Danio rerio: one gene and its partners. The protein of the gene in region 1 purifies or fractionates together with the protein of each later gene. This does not show direct contact. Links are inferred from orthologs where the notes say so. Each region holds a gene or a part of one and is shown in the gene's direction. Other genes may lie near its edges.

Region 1 (3,517 bases):
CATGACATCATTTTCTAAGTGCAGAATGTTATCTCGTTTTATTGTGTGTTGACAGACCTGCGGAAACAGGCGAGGCAGCTGGAGAATGAGCTGGACCTGAAGCTTGTGTCCTTCAGTAAGCTCTGCACCAGTTACAGCAGCTCTCGGGACGGCCGCAGAGGAGACAGGTGTGACTGTCGCTACCGTAACTCGTACAGGAAATTTTGATGTTTGATAAATAATAAAAAGATGGTGGAGGTAATAACACAATTCTTTTCCCTCTGTTTTCAGTAGCTCCGATACAACACCTCTGCTCTGCAACTCCACTCAGGACAGAATGTTTGAGACCATGTCTGTGGAGATTGAGCAGTTACTTGCAAAAGTAAGGCTTTCAGTATGCCAGTTTTTGGTGCAGTATATAGGACACGTTTACACACTGCACCTAAATTGTGATGTCAGTCTACCTTTTAGGTTTTTTCCTTCGTTGCTTGTTTTACAAATCAAAAAGAGAGTCATAAGTACATGGCATATCAAAATTTTATTCTATTTACACTGACTGGTCTTCTTAATAACTTCAGTCTTAATCATAACTACCAAAAAAGAATTTATTTTGAGAATTTTAACCCTTTAAATTCAATTTGGGAAAAAATAGATATTATTTTCTATTTAATAAATGCAAAGCAAATGCGTTAATGTTTAGAAAAATATTTATTTTGGTTCATTATAATTTGTGCAGTGTCAGATTAGAAATATTATCCAATATTATATACAAGTTACATACAAACCACACTGATATTTGTGTAGAACACCCACATCATGATAGTTAGATCATCCGCAGTGTTTATTATAAAATATTTTTCATCATGCTGTGACAGAAAACTTATCTGTCTGATATTCTTCCCAGTTAGAAAAGACTAATACAACAAATCTGTTTAATACTTAATGATATTTTTAGTGATCATTCGCAATATCTTTACAGCAGATTTCAGTAATATTTTTTAATGATAGCAAATTGTTGAATTGCAATTAGTTGAAATTTGTTTAACATTATTAATTTGATCAGTGTCTTATTTGCTCTCACATTTTATTACTTTTTAAAGCTGACGGGGGTGAATGACAAGATGGCTGAATATACAAGCACACCGGGAGTAACGTCTCTGAACGCTGCTCTGATGCACACTCTCCAGAGACACAGAGACATCCTACAGGTGACTTTTTTTACGTCTTATTTCTTTAAATAAATCGCAGTTACATGATTGTTCATAAAAGCCAGGCAACTATTGTTATGTAACACTGTTCAAAAGCCTTGGGGTCAGATTTTTTCAAAAAAATTTATACTTTTATTTAACAAGAATGCTTTCAATTTATTAAAACTATTTAAATTAATAATGTAACAAAAGCTTATATGCTAAATAAATGCAGCAATTTGTTTTTTCTTTTTTATATTCATAAAATAAATCTTGAAAAATTCATCTAAAAAATATGAAGCAGCACAAATGTGTTTAGTACTGATAAAAATAACAATAACAATAATATTATTAATAACAACAATATTATTTAAATAAAAATTATTATAATAATAGTATTATAATAGTTGTTTCTTGAGCACAGTGTCTTTTTTTATTAATTATTTTTGAAGATTTTTGACAATGATGATGTGAAGCTGAAAATGCAACTTCCCATCACAAGAATAAATTATATTTTTAAATGAATTGCCAAAAAAAAAATTTATAAATGCAGCCTTGGTGAACAAAAGCACCACCCCCTATCTTTTGAACAGTAGTGTTTATGAAAACTTTATCTTAAAGATAATAAGAAATTTCCTTTATTTAACATTGCCTGGCTTCTAAATTTAATACCTCTTGTACCCTGTTTTCTTTTGTAGGACTACACACATGAATTTCATAAAACCAAATCAAACTTCATGGCAATCAGGGAGAGAGAGGACCTTTTGGGATCTGTGAGAAAAGACATTGAGTGAGTGTTCTTTTAAATTGTCTGAAAAGTGGCAGTTTTGAAAACCAACCTCATCTAATGTGTAGTTAAGCATATTTAAAAACACAGAATGATTTTCACCATAAAAATGATTTATGCCGATGAGTTGAATTGAGTTTCAAGTTAATAATTGTTTTATCCGCTTGTTAAGTGGTGACGTGTTTGTGACGTATGTAATACTGTTTCTGGGTCCAAGCCGCCATTCATTTGAGTGGAGAAATCATTCGTTTATGATCACGTTTTGTTCCTATCACACATTAAAGTTAATTTTATATAAAGTCATAGTGTACACAACAATCTCCGGGCTTGCTGCATATCAAATACCAAAATTGTAACAATTTATAAAAAAAAATAACTTTCTGGCCATCGGATATTAGGCATGGATATATATATTGCGATCGTGATTTTTGAAAGCATTAAATCGCTTTGTAAACGTTTATTATTACCATTTCATGAGTCCCCCATTCAGTTGAATAGAGCGCTTGAACCCGGAAGCCGCTTCGCATGACGTCACACTTAACAAGCGGATTGGCATGACAAATGTTAGAAATGTATAGCCAAAGCATTTATAAAGTTTGCATTAAAAGGAACATGCATGTATATGTATGTATATGTATATGTGTATATATATATATATGTGTGTGTATATATATATATATATATATATATATATATATATATATATATATATATATATATATATATATATATATATATATATATATATGTGTGTATATATATATATATATATATATATGTGTGTGTGTATATATATATATATATATATATATATATATATATATATATGTGTATGTATATATATATATATATATATATATATATATATATATATATATATATATATATATATATATATATATATATATATATATATATGTGTGTGTGTATATATATATATATATATATATGTATGTATGTATGTATATATATATATATATATATATATATATATATATATATATATATATATATATATATATATATATGTGTGTATATGTGTATATATATATATATATATATATATATATATATATATATATATATATATATATATATATATATACATACTAAACCAAGTAAACAATAGTAATAGTAGAAATCTGTTTCTCACATTCTGATCTTTGCAAAAAAAAAAAAAATTGAATTCTGCTAATTAAATGTCAAAATGTGAAAACTGAGATGAGGTTATATTACAGTGTCATTGTGGTCTATCTGATAAAGCACTGCACAAAGGCCCTGCAAGTTTTCTTTGGAGATCTACAGGCACAGATGTGATGTAGTTCTGGTTGTAACCCTGAGATCTTGACTGCAGGATTGGATAATGACTTATTGATCTGAGCTGCAATGCTCTGGCACCTCTGCAGGCCGCTTTTTTCATTTGTGCACCTTGAAATAGATGTTGTGGTACCATATATGATGAGAAAAACTCTTATTTTGCTATTTGCAATTACCACTGAACCCATTTTTTTCGGTCAAAATAAACTGGCCTTCAAACTGGATTTGACCTCAATCCATCTCTCGC
Region 2 (4,230 bases), on another chromosome or scaffold:
ATGCCACACCACACAAAATTGAAATGTGTGTAAATGTAATGATTTAGAAGCATTTCTTGACACTGAGATTCATTCATTAATTTTCTTTTTGACTTAGTGCCTTTATTAATCTTGGGTTGCCACAGCGGAGTGAACTGCCAACTTATCCAGTATATGTTTTACACAGCGAATGCCCTTCCAGCTGCAACCCAACACTGGGAAACACCTATACACACTCAATCACACACATACACTATGGCCAATTTAAGCTTATCCAATTCACCTGTACCGCATGTCTTTGGACTTGTGGGGGAAATCAGAGCACCCAGAGGAAACCCACACAAACACGGGGAGAACATGCAAACTCCACACAAAAATGCCAACAGACCCAGCCAAGACTCGAACCAGCGACCTTCTTGATGTGAGGCAATCGTGCTACCCACTGTGCCAACGCGTCGCAAACATTGAGATGAAATGCTCAATTTTATATTGTTGAAAAAGAAATGAATATTCAAAAATTTGCATATTAAATGTAAAAAAATATTTGTGTATATATAGTCAGTGAAACACTTTTCAGTGTTTATTAAACTCATTTGCTCATAGTCTGTTTCTTTTAAAGTCTGGGTAAGTTTTTTTAAACTGTGAGGAAACCCACACTAACAATGGGGGAACATGCAAACTCATTCATTCCATTCATTTTCTTGTCGGCTTAGTCCCTTTAATAATCCGGAGTCGCCACAGCGGAATGAACCGCCAACTTATCCAGCAAGTTTTTACACAGCGGATGCCCTTCCAGCCGCAACCCATCTCTGGGAAACACCCAAACACACATTCACAAACACTCTCATACACTACGGACAATTTAGCCTACCCAATTCACCTGTACCGCATGTCTTTGGACTGTGGGGGAAACTGGAGCACCCGGAGGAAACCCACACCAACGCAGGGAGAACATGCAAACTCCACACAGAAACGCTAACTGACTCAGCCGGGACTCAAACCAGCGTCCTTCTTGCTGTGAGGCACTGAGCCACCATGTCGCTCCCATATAAGGCTTTGTACTATCAGTTATAAAAAGTAAAACAGTTCTTTGAAAGAACCTCAGAATGAAGATAAATTCAGAATTGAGAGAAAGTCTATACATTTTCTATAAAATAAATAATAGTGTCACAGATTTTTGAAAATCTGACTTGTCTTAGAGTCTGAACTGTGAGAAAGTCTACAGCTGTTTGCAATTTTTCAATTAAATTAACCCTGCAAGTCGTGTCAACTTACTTTTGAGAAATGAAGTCACAGTTTGCTGAAGAAAATGTTAGAATTATGACAAATAAAGACAAGAATTAACCGCAATACTCGCAGTAAAAACTTCAGTACCCAGAAGCCCATGTAACTTAAACGCGTATCGTTTAATCCTCTGCGGCTTCCGTAAGAGGTGTCGTGGCGCTTGTGAAGTTGGAGGGGGAAAGTACAGATTCTCTAAATATCAACATTAGCGAATATTTGTCACATTATTTTACAGACTGCAGTGATCGTATCCACGTCATATAGATTACTGGGTTGACAATGAGGCGCGCTGGTTTGGGTAAGTTTGCGTTTTTATGTGTCGTATTGCTTGAAGCTTATGCTAAGCTAAAATCTCAACTCAATTAGAAAACTTAACGTTATTGGTCACAGTTTATGACAGTAAGCAATCTCTGAATGACCAAATCATCACCCACACATTAACGTTAAATCCAGGTGTGGAGAATTAACGTTAACGTTAAATGGATAAATAACGTTTATTAACGTTCTTGCAGTAACTAGCAACTCCTATTTCTCTATTTCACCATCGTTGTTATTGAGGTGAAGTTGTTTTTATATTCGAACATTTGTTCTGTGACAGCTCCCTGTATTGTTTACCTTTATGCTAGTTTGAATATTCGGACTGAAATCACGTGTAAGTATGACTACAAAACAACACTATATAATTTACTGTGAACAATGTTTTTAATAGTCTGCTAATATAATTTCCCTATTTAGAACTTCCAAATAATACTTTTCTGAAATCATATTATTAAGGAGAAAGTTCGAATGTGTGAATTTAAAACCAGCTTTACGTCAGTGGCGTTATTTATTAATCATGTTTACATATATATTTATATCATACAGAAAAGCAACTTCTGTGTATGAACAACACGAGATACTGTAACAGCATAAATATGACACATCTAAGCTGAAATTAAAAAACCTTCTATTCGAAGTAGGGCTGGGCGATATTAAAAAAGAATTCAAACTCGTTAATTATTTTCCATATGAAGCATAACATCATATATTTCAATACAAGTTGGCAATGCTTCCAGATTTAAAATAGTACTTTAACATTGACTGAAGCCACAAAAATAAGAGTCCATTAGATCAGTAGTTCTCAAATTAGGGGTCGGGACCCCTTGAGGGGTCGCAGGACAATGAAAGGAAGGGTCGCCTGGGGATTTCCAAACATCTATTTATTTTTATTAAACCGGAATTACCATATTGTAACCTACTGAAGAGAAAAAAAGTCATTTAGAGTTACTATAAACTATATAATAACTTATAGTTACTAGTTCTATTGGATTGTGACCCCTGTAGTAATTACATAATATTAAAGACACAGCAATAGCATCGGATGCAGCAGATTGATTTTATACCTGCTTAAACTTTCTGGCCCATTTACAGCACTGAGATACATTTTAAAAAATTACACAAAGAATAAACCTGGGTGTATTGGCGTGTGTGCACCATTGCATGCAAGGTTTCTGTATTTATAACAACCTCAGATGATATTGGGGGTCGCGAGTCACTGGCATTGTCATTTTGGGGGTCGCGGGCTGAAAAGTTTGGGAACCCCTGCAATAGATGGCAGAACATTTTTTTCCAATAAATTTCCGTGGCTGAAAATTCGGTGCATCTCTAATATCAACACCCTTTTGGATTCCCATTGTTGCACATTTCTGCTGTGTGATTTGCTCTTAGATCAATATAGAGTAGAAAAGTCAAGAGATTGTCATTGTTATTGACAAAAATTTTATTGTGATTCGATATAATATTGTTTATCGGCCCAGCACTAATTTGAACAGTAAAGTATGATTGATAAAGCAAATAAAACCCATTTTAAACTTGATAAAATGAGGCACCAAGCAAATAATCTACCTTTTAATTTAAAAAAACATTCATTATTTTGCAAATTTCAACATTTTGTCTCATGTAGACAATCAAGATTTTATCCAGAGTTTTTACTTTTCGATTTTAAATAGTTTCTGATGAACATTTCAATCTTATTTGTTTAGGTTTTTCAAATTCACTTCCAACTTTAGAGAATATTTGATCAATCAAATCAGTGCATACTTGTCAATTACTCTTAAAGGGATAGTCACCCCAAACAATTTTTATATTTCACAAAAGAAGAAATTTTAAACAGAGCTAAAAACCTGTAACCATTGACTTCCATAGTATTTGTTTTTGCTACTATGGAGGTGAATGGTTACAGGTAGCATTGGCACAATACTGGAATTCGATACCAATCGGTACTGAAATTTTACAAACGTCCATTTCCTGCTTACATTTGAGCGCTGTTGAGCCCATTCTTAAACACTGTTGATTTGCTGTTGTGTTCACATGCTCAACAGAAATGACTGTGATTGGCCGTGAAGGTCATTAGTTCACCAAACTCAACACTGTTTACTGAGTGTAAACACAGATACAGGGACACAAGCATTTTAAAGTCACGTCAATCAGCTGGTTTGTCTATAACTTCACATACAAGCGATCTGCTGATGAATTGCGGCTTTTAAATGCTCCAGTGTCTGTATCTGTGTTTACACTCAGTGAACAGCAGTGAGATTGGTGAACTAATGACCTTCACTGCCAATCACAGTCATTTTTGTTGAGCATGTGAACACAATGGCAAATCAGCTGTGTTTAAGAACGTAATCAACAGTGTTTAAATCTTAGCAAGAGATGGATGCTTTTTTAAGCTTCAGTATCGATTGGTATTGAATTCCAGTATCGTGACAACACTAGCTACTAGTTTGAAACATTTAAAGGGCGAGTAAACATTGACAGATTTCATTTTGTCGTGAACCAGTTCTTTAAGGCAACATTTCAGTTTACTGTAATAAGATTTATTATTTTTAGTACTAAATACTTGATTTTAAATGTTTTTTTTTTTAAATTCCGTTGGATTTGACCTGACCTGAATGTTTCTTGTACAGGAGAAGGTGGCCCTCAAGGCAA
Region 3 (3,517 bases), on another chromosome or scaffold:
TTCTCACATTTTTCAAAATGCCTTCATTTGTTTTTAAAAGTTACTAGAAACTCTTATAGGTTTGAAACAAGTAAAGGGTGAGTAAATAATGATAGTTTTCAGTTTTGGGTCAACTATACCTTAAAGAGCAACAGAAATTTCCAGAGAAGAAGTTGTATAAGAAAGAGAACTTGTGTATAGAGTCTGCCTAGGGATTGGAATAAAACAGCGTTTTAGAATGAAAACGATACATGTCCACACTGGCGTTTCACCTAGCGATTCTGAACAGCTCTCTGTCCACTCTACACTGCTGAAAACGCACATCACCTGACCACACACATACACTGGCATGTGCTGCAGCGTATGCGTGTGACTGAGCTCCAGGCAGTCAGCGTGCTTTTAACACACCTCAATATTTTTGGTGTCTGTTAAGTTGTTAATATCAAAATGAAAATAGACAGTTTCTTATATCACGTTTTCATTTTATTGTTAAGATAGTGAAACCGTGTAGCCAGGGTGTTGTGAATGAGGTTATAAAGTACACTGATCCCTTTGAAGATTTACCCGACGTGTCCTTCACCATCACTGGCCCTTTTCCTTCTGTAATTAACCACAAATTATTCTTGGTAGAATTAATGTGAGCTGCTCTTTTCCACATGTCATAGGTGATGAACATGAAAGGAAATTTAGGCGATGAATTGAAATATACTAGTATTCTAAGATCTAAGTTCTGATATCGGAGTTAAACAAGCTCATCTAAAATAAAGACAGTTCCTTTGGCAGCATGTGCTAAAAGGGATGGTTCACCCAAAAATTTTACCCCACCCGCTATTTACTCACCCTCGAGTGGTTCCAAACATTTGAGTGGTTCCACGTACTACATTTGCTGGCATAACTTGTCTTAATTTGTTTTTCTGTCTTTTCAGAATGGAACTCACTCTAAACCTGCCAATAATGCCCTTAAACAGCGCAGTGACTTCACTCTCATGGCCAAGTAAGAGACATTCAGATCAATGTTTCTCTTTGGATTTTGCCTAGTGTATTTTTACTTCAGTTCAACTGCGTCTTGTCCTGCTTGAATCTTTGACCCCCTGACATCTGGTGTTGTTTCTTTGTAACAGGAGAATTGGGAAAGACTTGAGCAACACATTTGCTAAGCTTGAAAAGCTTACAATCTGTGAGTAACATATCAGTAAAAAAGTGTACAGTGTAGTTTGTGAAATTAATTAACACAGTACACATATTCTGTGCATGTCCTTCCTTCATTTTTCCTTATAGTCTACAACCCGCACATGTGTTTTGACAAAAAGAATAATAAAGTATATAAAGAAAACTTTGTACTTAACTTATTAAAAATTGGTATTTTAACAAATCTAAAACTTGTATATCAGTTCTTTATGTTGGTTCTTATGCAACTCTCTAAAATGTAAAAAAAAAAAAAAAAAATATATATATATATATATATATATATATATATATATATATATATATATATATATGCTCTCTAAGATTGCATTTGTTTATTTGCAAAATTCAGTAAAATGTACAGTATTTAGCTTTTTGTTTAAATTGGGTGTCATCTGATTAAATAATACGTTTTTTAATTATTGTGAAGCAAAGCTATTATTAATTTAGCACTTACAGAAAGTATTCTTACATACTGATTTGCTGAAAAATAACATTTCTGATCAATGTTGAAAATAGGTTTTTGTGGAAACTTTTTTTAGTATTCATAATACTTAATAGAAAGTATAAAAGAAAGTATTTTAACCAATATTTTGTACTACTATGAATCACTTTACAATCACTGATTCAATTGTATTTAATACGTTATTGTTAAATGTGCGTGCGTATGTTTTTATATATATATATATATATATATATATATATATATGTATGTATGTATGTATGTATGTATGTATGTATGTATGTATGTATGTATGTATGTATGTATGTATGTATGTATGTATGTATGTATGTATGTATGTATGTATGTGTGTATGTATGTATGTGTGTGTGTATGTATGTGTGTATGTGTGTGTGTATGTGTGTGTGTGTGTGTGTGTGTATGTGTTTATATATGTTTATATATATATATATATATATATATATATATATACACACACACACACATATATGTATATGGATGGATGGATGGATGGATGGATGGATGGATGGATGGATGGATGGATGGATGGATAGATAGATAGATAGATAGATAGATAGATAGATAGATAGATAGATAGATAGATAGATAGATAGATAGATAGATAGATAGATAGATAGATAGAGGGTCATTTATATGGATACACCTTAATTAAATGGGAATGGTTGGTAATATTAACATCCTGTTTGTGGCACATTAGTATATGTGAGGGGGCCAGTAAATAACTCATGAAAGAATAAAGTTATGTTAAAACCAAGCACACCATTGTTTTTGCTGTAAAATTTCCCAATAAGTTTAATAAGATGTATCCATATAAATGGCCCACCCCGTATGTATATATGTGTACATGCACTACCTGACAAAAGTCTCGTCGACGATCCCAGTTTTAAGAGCAACAAATAATAACTTGTTTTCTAGTTTGGATCATTTGGAAAAGTGGCAGAAGGTGGATTTTTCAGATGAATCATGTGTTGAACTGCATTCCAATCATCACAAATACTGCATAAGACCTAATTAAACCTGCATGGACCCAAGATTCTCACAGAAATCAGTCAAGTTTGGTTCAGTATGGGGACGTGCGAGAGATCTGCAGAGTGGATGGCAGCATCAACAGTCTGAGGTCCAAGACATTTGCGCTGCCCATTACAAACCACAGGAGAGGGCAAGTTCTTCAGCAGGATAGCGCTCCTTCTCATACTTCAGCCTCCATATCAAATTTCCTAAAAGCAAAGCAGGTCAAGGTGCTCTAGGATAGGCCAGCCCAGTCACCAGACATGAACAATATTGAGAATGTCTAGGGTAAGATGAAGGAGGTGGCATTGAAGATGAATCCTATGAATCTTGATAAACTCTGGGAGTCCTGCAAGAACACTTTCTTTGCCATTCCATATGACTTTATTATTAAGTGATTTGAGTCATTGCAGAGCTGTATGAATGCAGTCCTCCTAGCTCATGGGAGTCATACACAATATTCATTGTTTTTCCACTGCACCATGACTGATACTGTACATTATTTCTGTTAAGTGACAAGACTTTTGTCTAAGCAAAGTCAGACCTTACTGTCCTAATTAAATAATTAAAGATCAAGGCTTCATCATATTATTATTATTATAAAATAAGTGTAATCTAGAGGCCTTTGCTTTTCATGCAAGTCATGTCTGAATCCAAATGATCAACTGGAAGTCAAGTTATTAATTGTTGTTCCTAAAACTAGGATAGGCGACAAGACTTTTGTCAGGTAAGCTATATATATATATATATATATATATATATATATATATATATATATATATATATATATATATATATATAAATATAAATTCATTTACCAACAAAAAAAAAATCCAATCTTTGTAATGTTGACCTGTTTGT
Region 4 (3,517 bases), on another chromosome or scaffold:
AGAAACTGCGAATAAGAAGGTGGATTCAGATTCGTCCCTCCTTAACGCAAACACAACAGCAGTCTGGTAGTGACTAAGCTGCTTTTTTCAGGGTTAATTATTGTGATATTGTAACGGTGGCTTCATGTTTGATATGCATCATGTATAAATGTCATATCCCCTTCAAGAGGACCTTTGAGATGTGGGAGATATGGGAGAACAGTTCAGTTCAGGTCGCTCTACTGCTGTATCATTCTTTTATTTCAATAATGTAACATTTTATTTGTGAGGGATGTTTGAGTGTGTCTTTTTCTTTTCCTTTTGCCTACTCATTGTCGTCAACTGGCATGTATGTAGTCGACAGCACTTGGGAGAAACGCATAAAGGCCGATAGGAAGAGCGAAATAGTTTGTCTTCTTTTTTTTTCATCCCTGTCTCCGGGTAAATGCGGGACGCCAGGCACCCGTCACAACATCGACAGCAACAGAGAAATACTGTAGACTGTAATAGACTGTAGGGAGAAAGCTCTGGAGACAGATGGCATTTCATGCCATGTTCAGCCTTATAATCTTAAAATGTAAGCACAAATCAGCTATTTTGTCATCAGTAGAAATTACGCTAAAGAGAATCATTCAAATACTAACTCTTAAATTACGTTGGTGAATTAGTAACGTCTTTTGCTGTTCTGACGTCAGCTGCAGATGTGAATGAATGGTGGAAGAAAGTAGTTCCTCATACAAAAGGGTATTAGACTCTGTGTTTGATTTTCTTTTTTTTAATTGTGCCGTGGAACTGTTGTATAAATGCAATATCACACTCATAGCAGTGCGATGTGGCTGTATATCAGCACTGGTGGGACGCTAAGGCCTGCGGCCTCGTGCCAACGCACGCCTCCCACCAGTGCTGATATACAGCCATATCGCACTGCTATGAGTGTGATATTGCTCTTATATAAATCATAAACACAAATATAACAGTTTAAACATATGAGATGTGTGCAGAGATTAATGCAAATATGCAGTGTGTGTGTGTTGTTGCACTTGTAGATCTGAGTCATATATACTAGAGTCATGCACTGCTGATGTTGTTGAGACTAACAATTTCAGATTATAGCAATTATAAGTTGCACATTTTATTTTGATATGATTTAATTGGCCATTATTAGATTTAGTCATCATATGTATGAAGCACAATTTATTATAATCCTTTATTTGGTGTCCTTTTTACACACTTTACATGTCCTTACTATTTTAATTACAAGTAATTATGCATAATAACATGCAACTAAACCTAGCCAGCATTCTAACCCTAACCCTCAGCTGGTCAGAATAAAATTATTTATTTGGTCAAACTGTCAAGATGTAGAATGCTGTGATTAACAACTTGATATGCCCAGCAGGGCGGCACAGTGGCTCAGTGGTTAGCACTGTCGCCTCACAGCAAGAAGGTCACTGGTTGAATTGGGTAAACTAAATTGGCCGAAGTGTGAGTGTGTGTGTGTGAATGTGAGAGTTTATTGGTGTTTCCCAGTGCTGGGTTGTTGCTGGAAGGGTATCCTCTGTGTAAAACATAAGCTGGAATAATTGGCAGTTCATTCCGCTGTGGTGACCTCTGATAAATCAAAGACTAAGCTGAAGGAAAATTTATAAATATACACAGCAGAACATCACATTCGTCCTCGCCAATGCTCAACCCAAATAACGAATATAGTTCTGCAAATATCTGCAATTGCACATATCAAACAGAGATGGCGATAAAGACACACAAACCTAAAGTTTGCAGTAATAAACATTGTATTGATTTGACTTCATTTAAAAGTATAACTGGATCAAAACATATTTAAGTTGTGAAAATATTAACGTCCACACTAATGTTTGTGTTCTCTTGTGTGAATGTGTTTGTCAGCTGCAGGAAACGCTTTTTCTCAGGCGGCTCTTCTACACCTGCAGATGCAGAGTAAACATGACGCAGCCACAAACTTCATTGATGCCGGCAATGCCTTCAAAAAGTCAGACCCCCAAGGTATATTTTCCTGACTTCACATTCATTGTTTTACACTTCTAAACATCCAGCTGCCAGCAACTAGTATTGGCTATCAGTCAATAAGCATCCATGCACAGTCATTTCAATATATATATATATATATATATATATATATATATATATATATATATATATATATATATATATATATATATATAAAATATAAATATGCACTTTATCGAAAGCTGAAAGCTGACTGTCATTCTTTCCACAGAGGCCATAAACTGCTTGAACAGGGCCATTGAGATTTATACAGACATGGTAAGACTATTTCTGAAATCTGAGTTTGTAGACAGTGTTTAAATATTAGTAGAGCTGCTTGTGTGCTTCACAATAATTTAGACTCTTTTCATTTGTAAAAAACGATTTTCGAAATTGTTCAATATATACATGGCTGCAAGTTAGTTGACACGCCACTAGAGGGCATAGTAACATCATTCATGTGTTTTAGTATGCACTATACCAGGGGTGCTCAAACTTTTTCTTATGAAGGGCCAAAAACCAAACTTGACTGAGGGCTGTGGGCCGAATGTAAATATAGCAAACTGTATTGCATTATAGTTGTCATGAATAATAAAAAAAAAAAAAAAAAACATTGTTTTATATGAACTAATGCAGTATGATTAAAAAAATAATATATACGCTTTATAATCAACTTATAACAGTCAATCACGTTTATTACACAATGGAGTTCAGTGCCCAATACACAAGTCAAGCGTTTTTGGGCATTGTCCTCTATTTGTGGAGAGACAATATTTACATTTTTGAAAAGCTGATTCATTTACGACATTTAATTGAAATGTTTAATTTCAGTTTTCTTTTTTATAGCTCAACAATAAAACAAACAAACAAAAAAGGTTACATTCAATTCAAAATGAAACTCTCTGTTAAAGACATTCTGTACATTTAGGATCAAGAAAAGAACTTTTGTAGTTATAGCTTAAAAATCTAAAAATTTAAGCAACAGTTTTTAAAAAGGACGTAATTTTATAGGTCATTTAACATTTCAGTCCTGTATAGACTTTATATATAACTCTTTAAATCAAAACTAAAATTGTAAAATTCTTTATTACTTTATTCTAGATGTTTAAGAAGCTAAAGATGAAATGCTGTTTTGGAAAATTTTGCCACGATTTGCAGTTAATAACTAGAAGCTGCTTATTAACGTTAAAAAAAGACATTGCCTTTGTGCTTTTGTTAGTGTTATCAATATAATCTGTTACTTTTAAAAGCCATTCATTGAAAGAATTTACAGATGAACTAGATAGAAATTTGAGATAAGGCAAGTCAAGTCGTTTCCTTTAGGTGAAATATCAGTGGTTTTTATCTTGCCTGTTTGTTGCTGGCCTTGGTGAAATGAAAACAGCCCACTAGAGGATCCTCTAAAACACTGTGCTTTCTTTGTTTTGTGTTTCACAACTTTCAGGGCCGATTTACAATCGCAGCAAAACACCACGTCACCATTGCTGAAGTTTATGAGACTGAACTGGTCGAC
Region 5 (4,263 bases), on another chromosome or scaffold:
GTGCAGTCCTACTTAAGGTAATTTTTTACATTCTTCAGCAAACACTGAGAAAATAGGTAAACATGTTTTAAAGCATTGTGTAATCATTATTATCAATAATAAAAATGTCTTGCAGGTAATTCCAAAATAAGTGGCATTAATACGGTGAAAATTTCATAGTAAAATATTCTAGAAAGCCTAAAATTATGACAGATAAGGCATTAGAAGTAGAGTATGTTAACAGGGACACCAATAGTCCGACATTAATAAGATTAAGACAATACTCTTAATAAGAGTCTACTATGTCAGAACTTAATTTTCAATTAGTAATATGCATTACAGGCCTGTAGCCAGCCTGGTGAAGGGTGTGGATCTTTTTTCTTAAAAAGTTGACCATTTTGCATTTATTCGCCTAATTTTTTTCTATGTAATTATGAGGTTAAAATAAGTTGCATTTTTGTAACATTTTAAGCACTATTTTTTTGCTGGATTAGCTTGTTTGATGGTCATCATAACCACATTTTTGATGTTAAGGTTTACATCAATTATCATTTACATCATATACATCAATTGCATCATTAGAAAAAATAGGAATTTGTTAAAGTTTTAAATTAAAAACTTTAGCCTATTGTTATTTAAATATCATTAACATAAAAAGCAAACCGTCCCGCACATTCAACTTTCCTCAGTCATGCTGACGCAACAACCAACACAGGATTCCACATGGTGTTAAAGCCTTTTTCCATGGATTATTTTCACAACTTATTATGACATAGTAGTTATGGGCCTTTGTCAATGAGGGGTGGGTCTTCTGAACCACCTGAAACCCTCCCCTGGCTACAGGCCTGCTTTGTTAATAACTTAATTTAGACAACTTTAAAGGCAGCTTTCCCAATATTTAGATATTTTTAAACCCTCGGATTCCAGATTTTGAAATAGTTGCATCTCAGCATCAATGACAAATGTATTTATTCAGCTTTCAGATCATGTATAAATCTCAATTTCCCAAAATTGACACTTATGATTGGTTTTGTACTCTAGGGTCACATATTAGAGAGCTTATCTATGATAATCCCTTAAAAATACTTTGGCTTTTAAACAAAACAATTACATTAAGCAGACTCTATTCAATCAAACATTCATTCTCCTTCGGCTTAGTCTCTTATTTATCAAGGGTCACCACAGGGAAATAAACCGCCAACTATTCCACCATATGATTTATGCAGCAGATGCTCTTCTAGCCACAACCCAGTACTGGAAAGTAGACTCTATTCACCTTCTAAAATGACAATGATCTCCAGATCTTCGGTAGCCATTGACTGCGCTGAGAGCTCGTACAGTGGACTCCCTCTGTCAATGGTGTGACTGATAATGAGTGGAGAGACGAGGAATATGCCGTTGCTCCTGAGAGGGTTTTCCACCTGGATATCTAACTGACAGACGGGAATCACTTCGCCCTCCGCTGTCACTGTCCGCCGAATAACCTGAGGAGCAAATATCAAGATCAGGATGGAATCAAACTCAAGAATATCTGGTACAGACATGATATATAAAGCATTTTTGGCTCACACTTCACATAATTTGTGTTTGTTATGATAATCAATGTGTATGAAAATCACTCTCCATGTCGAATTTCTAAATTCTTGCATTCAAGATGCCTGAATAGATTTCCATTCTGCCAAGTAATGGCAGAATTTTAATTTTAAGGTGAACTGTCCCTTTAAGGCAGAATTTATACTATCTTTAAAGCTACATATCTGCCATCATTTTGACATCAAATGCCTTGCTTTTATGTTGTCTGAACCTGGTGATAAAATAATGATTAAATAACCTTAGTTTGAAGGACATATTAAAGATCTATAGCAGTGTTTCTCAACCACGTTCCTGGAGGACCACCAACACTGCATGTTTTGGATGTCTCCTTTGTCCGTCAAACCAATTACAGGTCTTTCAGTCTCTGCTAATGAGCTGACGGTCTGAATCAGGTGTGTTTGGTTAAGGAGACATGGAAAATGTGCAAAGCGTGTGGTCCTCAAAGAAACGTGGTTGAGAAACACTGATCTAAAGGACTAAAATGAAGAACTCTCTAATAGAAGGTTCTGTGGATGTTAAGGTTCTTCAATGATTTAAATACATCAGTAAAGAAATAAACACATCTGTCACCTGCAGCTGTATGTTGGCAGAGATGATCATGCTTTTTCTCAGATCTCCAACACGAAACATCAATGTCGGTCTGCCATTCCTTGGGGCAATGACTGCGTTGCGGGAGAAGATGAGGGTTTCTGCTCTGCGGTTGGCTTGAGCTGTCTTCATGAACACACAGCCAAGCATGATGGCGTTGATGATCAGGCCCAGAATGTTCTGGATGATGAGGACTATGATGGCCAGCGGACACTCCTCTGTCACCATTCGTCCTCCGAAACCAATAGTTACCTGGTATTACAAATGCTTCATTATCTTACAGACGATTTAAAGGGGTCATGAACTGTGAAACCTAAAAATCACCTAATTTTTTTTTTTTTACATATAAGAGCTCATAGTTCTCTAAAAATATCCTGTAAGTTTTAGAACTGAACACTTTGTGGTTCCTCTAAATACAGATTATATTGAAGGCAGTCTGAAGATAACAGATTCTTGAATGTTCTACTCTATGATGTAATAGAGTGGATAAGCCCCGCCTCCACAGAAGATTGACGTCAACTTCTACTTCACATCCTGTTCAGCGCTGTTAAGGTATAGTTTACCAAAAATATTACATTGTTTATTCTCCCTCAGTTTTGACAACTAGTATTACGTTTCAGTCAGTCCAATCACAAGTGGATGACATTAAATAAAAATGTATGCGGAGTCTAAAATATTTAGATTACTGAAAATGCATGTCATAATAATTCTAGATGGAAACAGAGTCATATCTATCCAGATTGATCCTTACCTGCACTTCAATGGAGAACAGAAAAGCAGAAGTGAAGGAGTGAATGGATGTGACGCACGGCACAGGTCCGGGTTCATTGGGATCTCGAGGTTCTAGATCTCCATGAGCGAATGCCAGGAGCCACCACACCATGGCAAAGAGCATCCAGGAGCAGAGGAACGCTGAGGTGAAGATGAGCAAAGAATGCTGCCATTTCAGGTCCACCATGGTGGTGAACACATCTTGGAGAAACCGACCCTGAGAAGCAATAATCTCTTATGAACACTGCAACTGAGTCAATTGAAACTTTTCTTTAGCCTAGAACTGATAGGAAAATCTCACCTGTTCTCGAATATTCTTGTGGGCTACATTACATGAGCCGCTCTTGGTGATAAAACGTGCCCTTTGTGACTTTGGCCGGATGCGGCTGGGTTGTGCATCTTCAGCGAGTCGCGTTAACAAGAACCCATCAGGCAAAAGACCTTTGCGGGCCAACATTATGACAATTTGTGGCCAATTGGTGCTCCGCACTGTAGAAGGAATTTAAAAAAAAGAACTAAAATATACAGTAACACTAAGGGTTTCTTGAAAAATAAAGAAAAAATTATGAAGTACATTTCAGTTAATTTAGTTTATCTTTAATTCTTTAGCCCTTTTTACAATGTAAACAATATACAAAGCAGTTTGACATTACATTTTATCATTAATTCATCATTAAATTTAGTGTTTTGTTTTACTTATACTGCTAAAAAAATAATAATAATAAATTAGGTTTACAGTATATATGCATTGAATTGCATAATTTTAAAATCTTTTACCTAAAGGTAACGTTTTGCCTAATAATAATGCAAAAGGTTACATTTATAAATTACATAATGAATAAGGTTATAATAACATTATAATAAAGGTTACATTAATAAATTATATTATTAGGTTATAATAAATAAAAATCGAAGAATTTTTGATGTAACTCGTAATATAATAGTTAAAGCTTAATTTTAATTATTTTTTTTGTTTATTTTATGCATAAACAGATAACTCATAAATTGTCTTTTGTTAGTTGCACAGATATCAAAGCATATTCATAATTTTAAACAATTACATTTATATTTCTTTTAGTTTTTATATTTAACTAATTTAAAATATAATTATTTAATTAAATAAATGGTAATCGTTTATTAAGGGAAAAACTGGCATGAAACTGTCTAATCACGAGCGACAATGCTATTTTGAATAGTTTAGTTTCACTCAAACATAAAATATATACATGTATTATTTCAAATATATACATATATTATAACGTTTTATCATAATTTGGTTGTACATCATCAAAGAAGCGCGTAAGCTCATCGATTATTTTACATATTTCAAAG

Evidence for each region.
Region 2: the proteins of gosr1 (region 1) and bet1 purify together in Homo sapiens (affinity purification with mass spectrometry; 3 studies listed by BioGRID and IntAct, with this or other methods). This does not show direct contact. The link is inferred for Danio rerio from reciprocal best matches to the Homo sapiens genes GOSR1 and BET1.
Region 3: the proteins of gosr1 (region 1) and stx5a purify together in Homo sapiens (affinity purification with western blotting; 3 studies listed by BioGRID, with this or other methods). This does not show direct contact. The link is inferred for Danio rerio from reciprocal best matches to the Homo sapiens genes GOSR1 and STX5.
Region 4: the proteins of gosr1 (region 1) and napab purify together in Homo sapiens (affinity purification with mass spectrometry; 3 studies listed by BioGRID and IntAct, with this or other methods). This does not show direct contact. The link is inferred for Danio rerio from reciprocal best matches to the Homo sapiens genes GOSR1 and NAPA.
Region 5: the proteins of gosr1 (region 1) and bet1l purify together in Homo sapiens (affinity purification with western blotting; 3 studies listed by BioGRID and IntAct, with this or other methods). This does not show direct contact. The link is inferred for Danio rerio from reciprocal best matches to the Homo sapiens genes GOSR1 and BET1L.

Annotation. Positions count from the first base shown.
Region 1 is NC_133190.1:27,282,418-27,285,934, forward strand, and holds part of gosr1 (Golgi SNAP receptor complex member 1), read left to right. Parts: intron 1-55; coding exon 56-167; intron 168-270; coding exon 271-361; intron 362-1,079; coding exon 1,080-1,187; intron 1,188-1,864; coding exon 1,865-1,956; intron 1,957-3,517. UniProt on the Homo sapiens protein: Involved in transport from the ER to the Golgi apparatus as well as in intra-Golgi transport. It belongs to a super-family of proteins called t-SNAREs or soluble NSF (N-ethylmaleimide-sensitive factor) attachment protein receptor.
Region 2 is NC_133194.1:43,532,846-43,537,075, reverse strand, and holds the start of bet1 (BET1 homolog), read left to right. Parts: upstream 1-1,416; 5' UTR 1,417-1,542; coding exon 1,543-1,561; intron 1,562-4,208; coding exon 4,209-4,230. UniProt on the Homo sapiens protein: Required for vesicular transport from the ER to the Golgi complex. Functions as a SNARE involved in the docking process of ER-derived vesicles with the cis-Golgi membrane.
Region 3 is NC_133189.1:9,153,351-9,156,867, forward strand, and holds part of stx5a (syntaxin-5a), read left to right. Parts: intron 1-905; coding exon 906-973; intron 974-1,100; coding exon 1,101-1,156; intron 1,157-3,517. UniProt on the Homo sapiens protein: Mediates endoplasmic reticulum to Golgi transport.
Region 4 is NC_133193.1:47,639,268-47,642,784, forward strand, and holds part of napab (N-ethylmaleimide-sensitive factor attachment protein, alpha b), read left to right. Parts: intron 1-1,884; coding exon 1,885-2,001; intron 2,002-2,236; coding exon 2,237-2,283; intron 2,284-3,448; coding exon 3,449-3,517. UniProt on the Homo sapiens protein: Required for vesicular transport between the endoplasmic reticulum and the Golgi apparatus. Together with GNA12 promotes CDH5 localization to plasma membrane.
Region 5 is NC_133200.1:8,372,459-8,376,721, reverse strand, and holds the start of bet1l (BET1-like protein), read left to right. Parts: upstream 1-1,463; 5' UTR 1,464-1,513; intron 1,514-2,142; coding exon of another isoform or gene 2,143-2,412; 5' UTR 2,413-2,415; intron 2,416-2,579; exon of another isoform or gene 2,580-2,641; 5' UTR 2,642-2,712; intron 2,713-2,873; 5' UTR 2,874-2,911; coding exon of another isoform or gene 2,912-3,148; intron 3,149-3,232; coding exon of another isoform or gene 3,233-3,388; exon of another isoform or gene 3,389-3,420; intron 3,421-4,263. Other genes in the region: kcnj11l (potassium inwardly rectifying channel subfamily J member 11, like), read right to left, coding at 1,256-1,463, 2,143-2,412, 2,912-3,148, 3,233-3,388. UniProt on the Homo sapiens protein: Vesicle SNARE required for targeting and fusion of retrograde transport vesicles with the Golgi complex. Required for the integrity of the Golgi complex.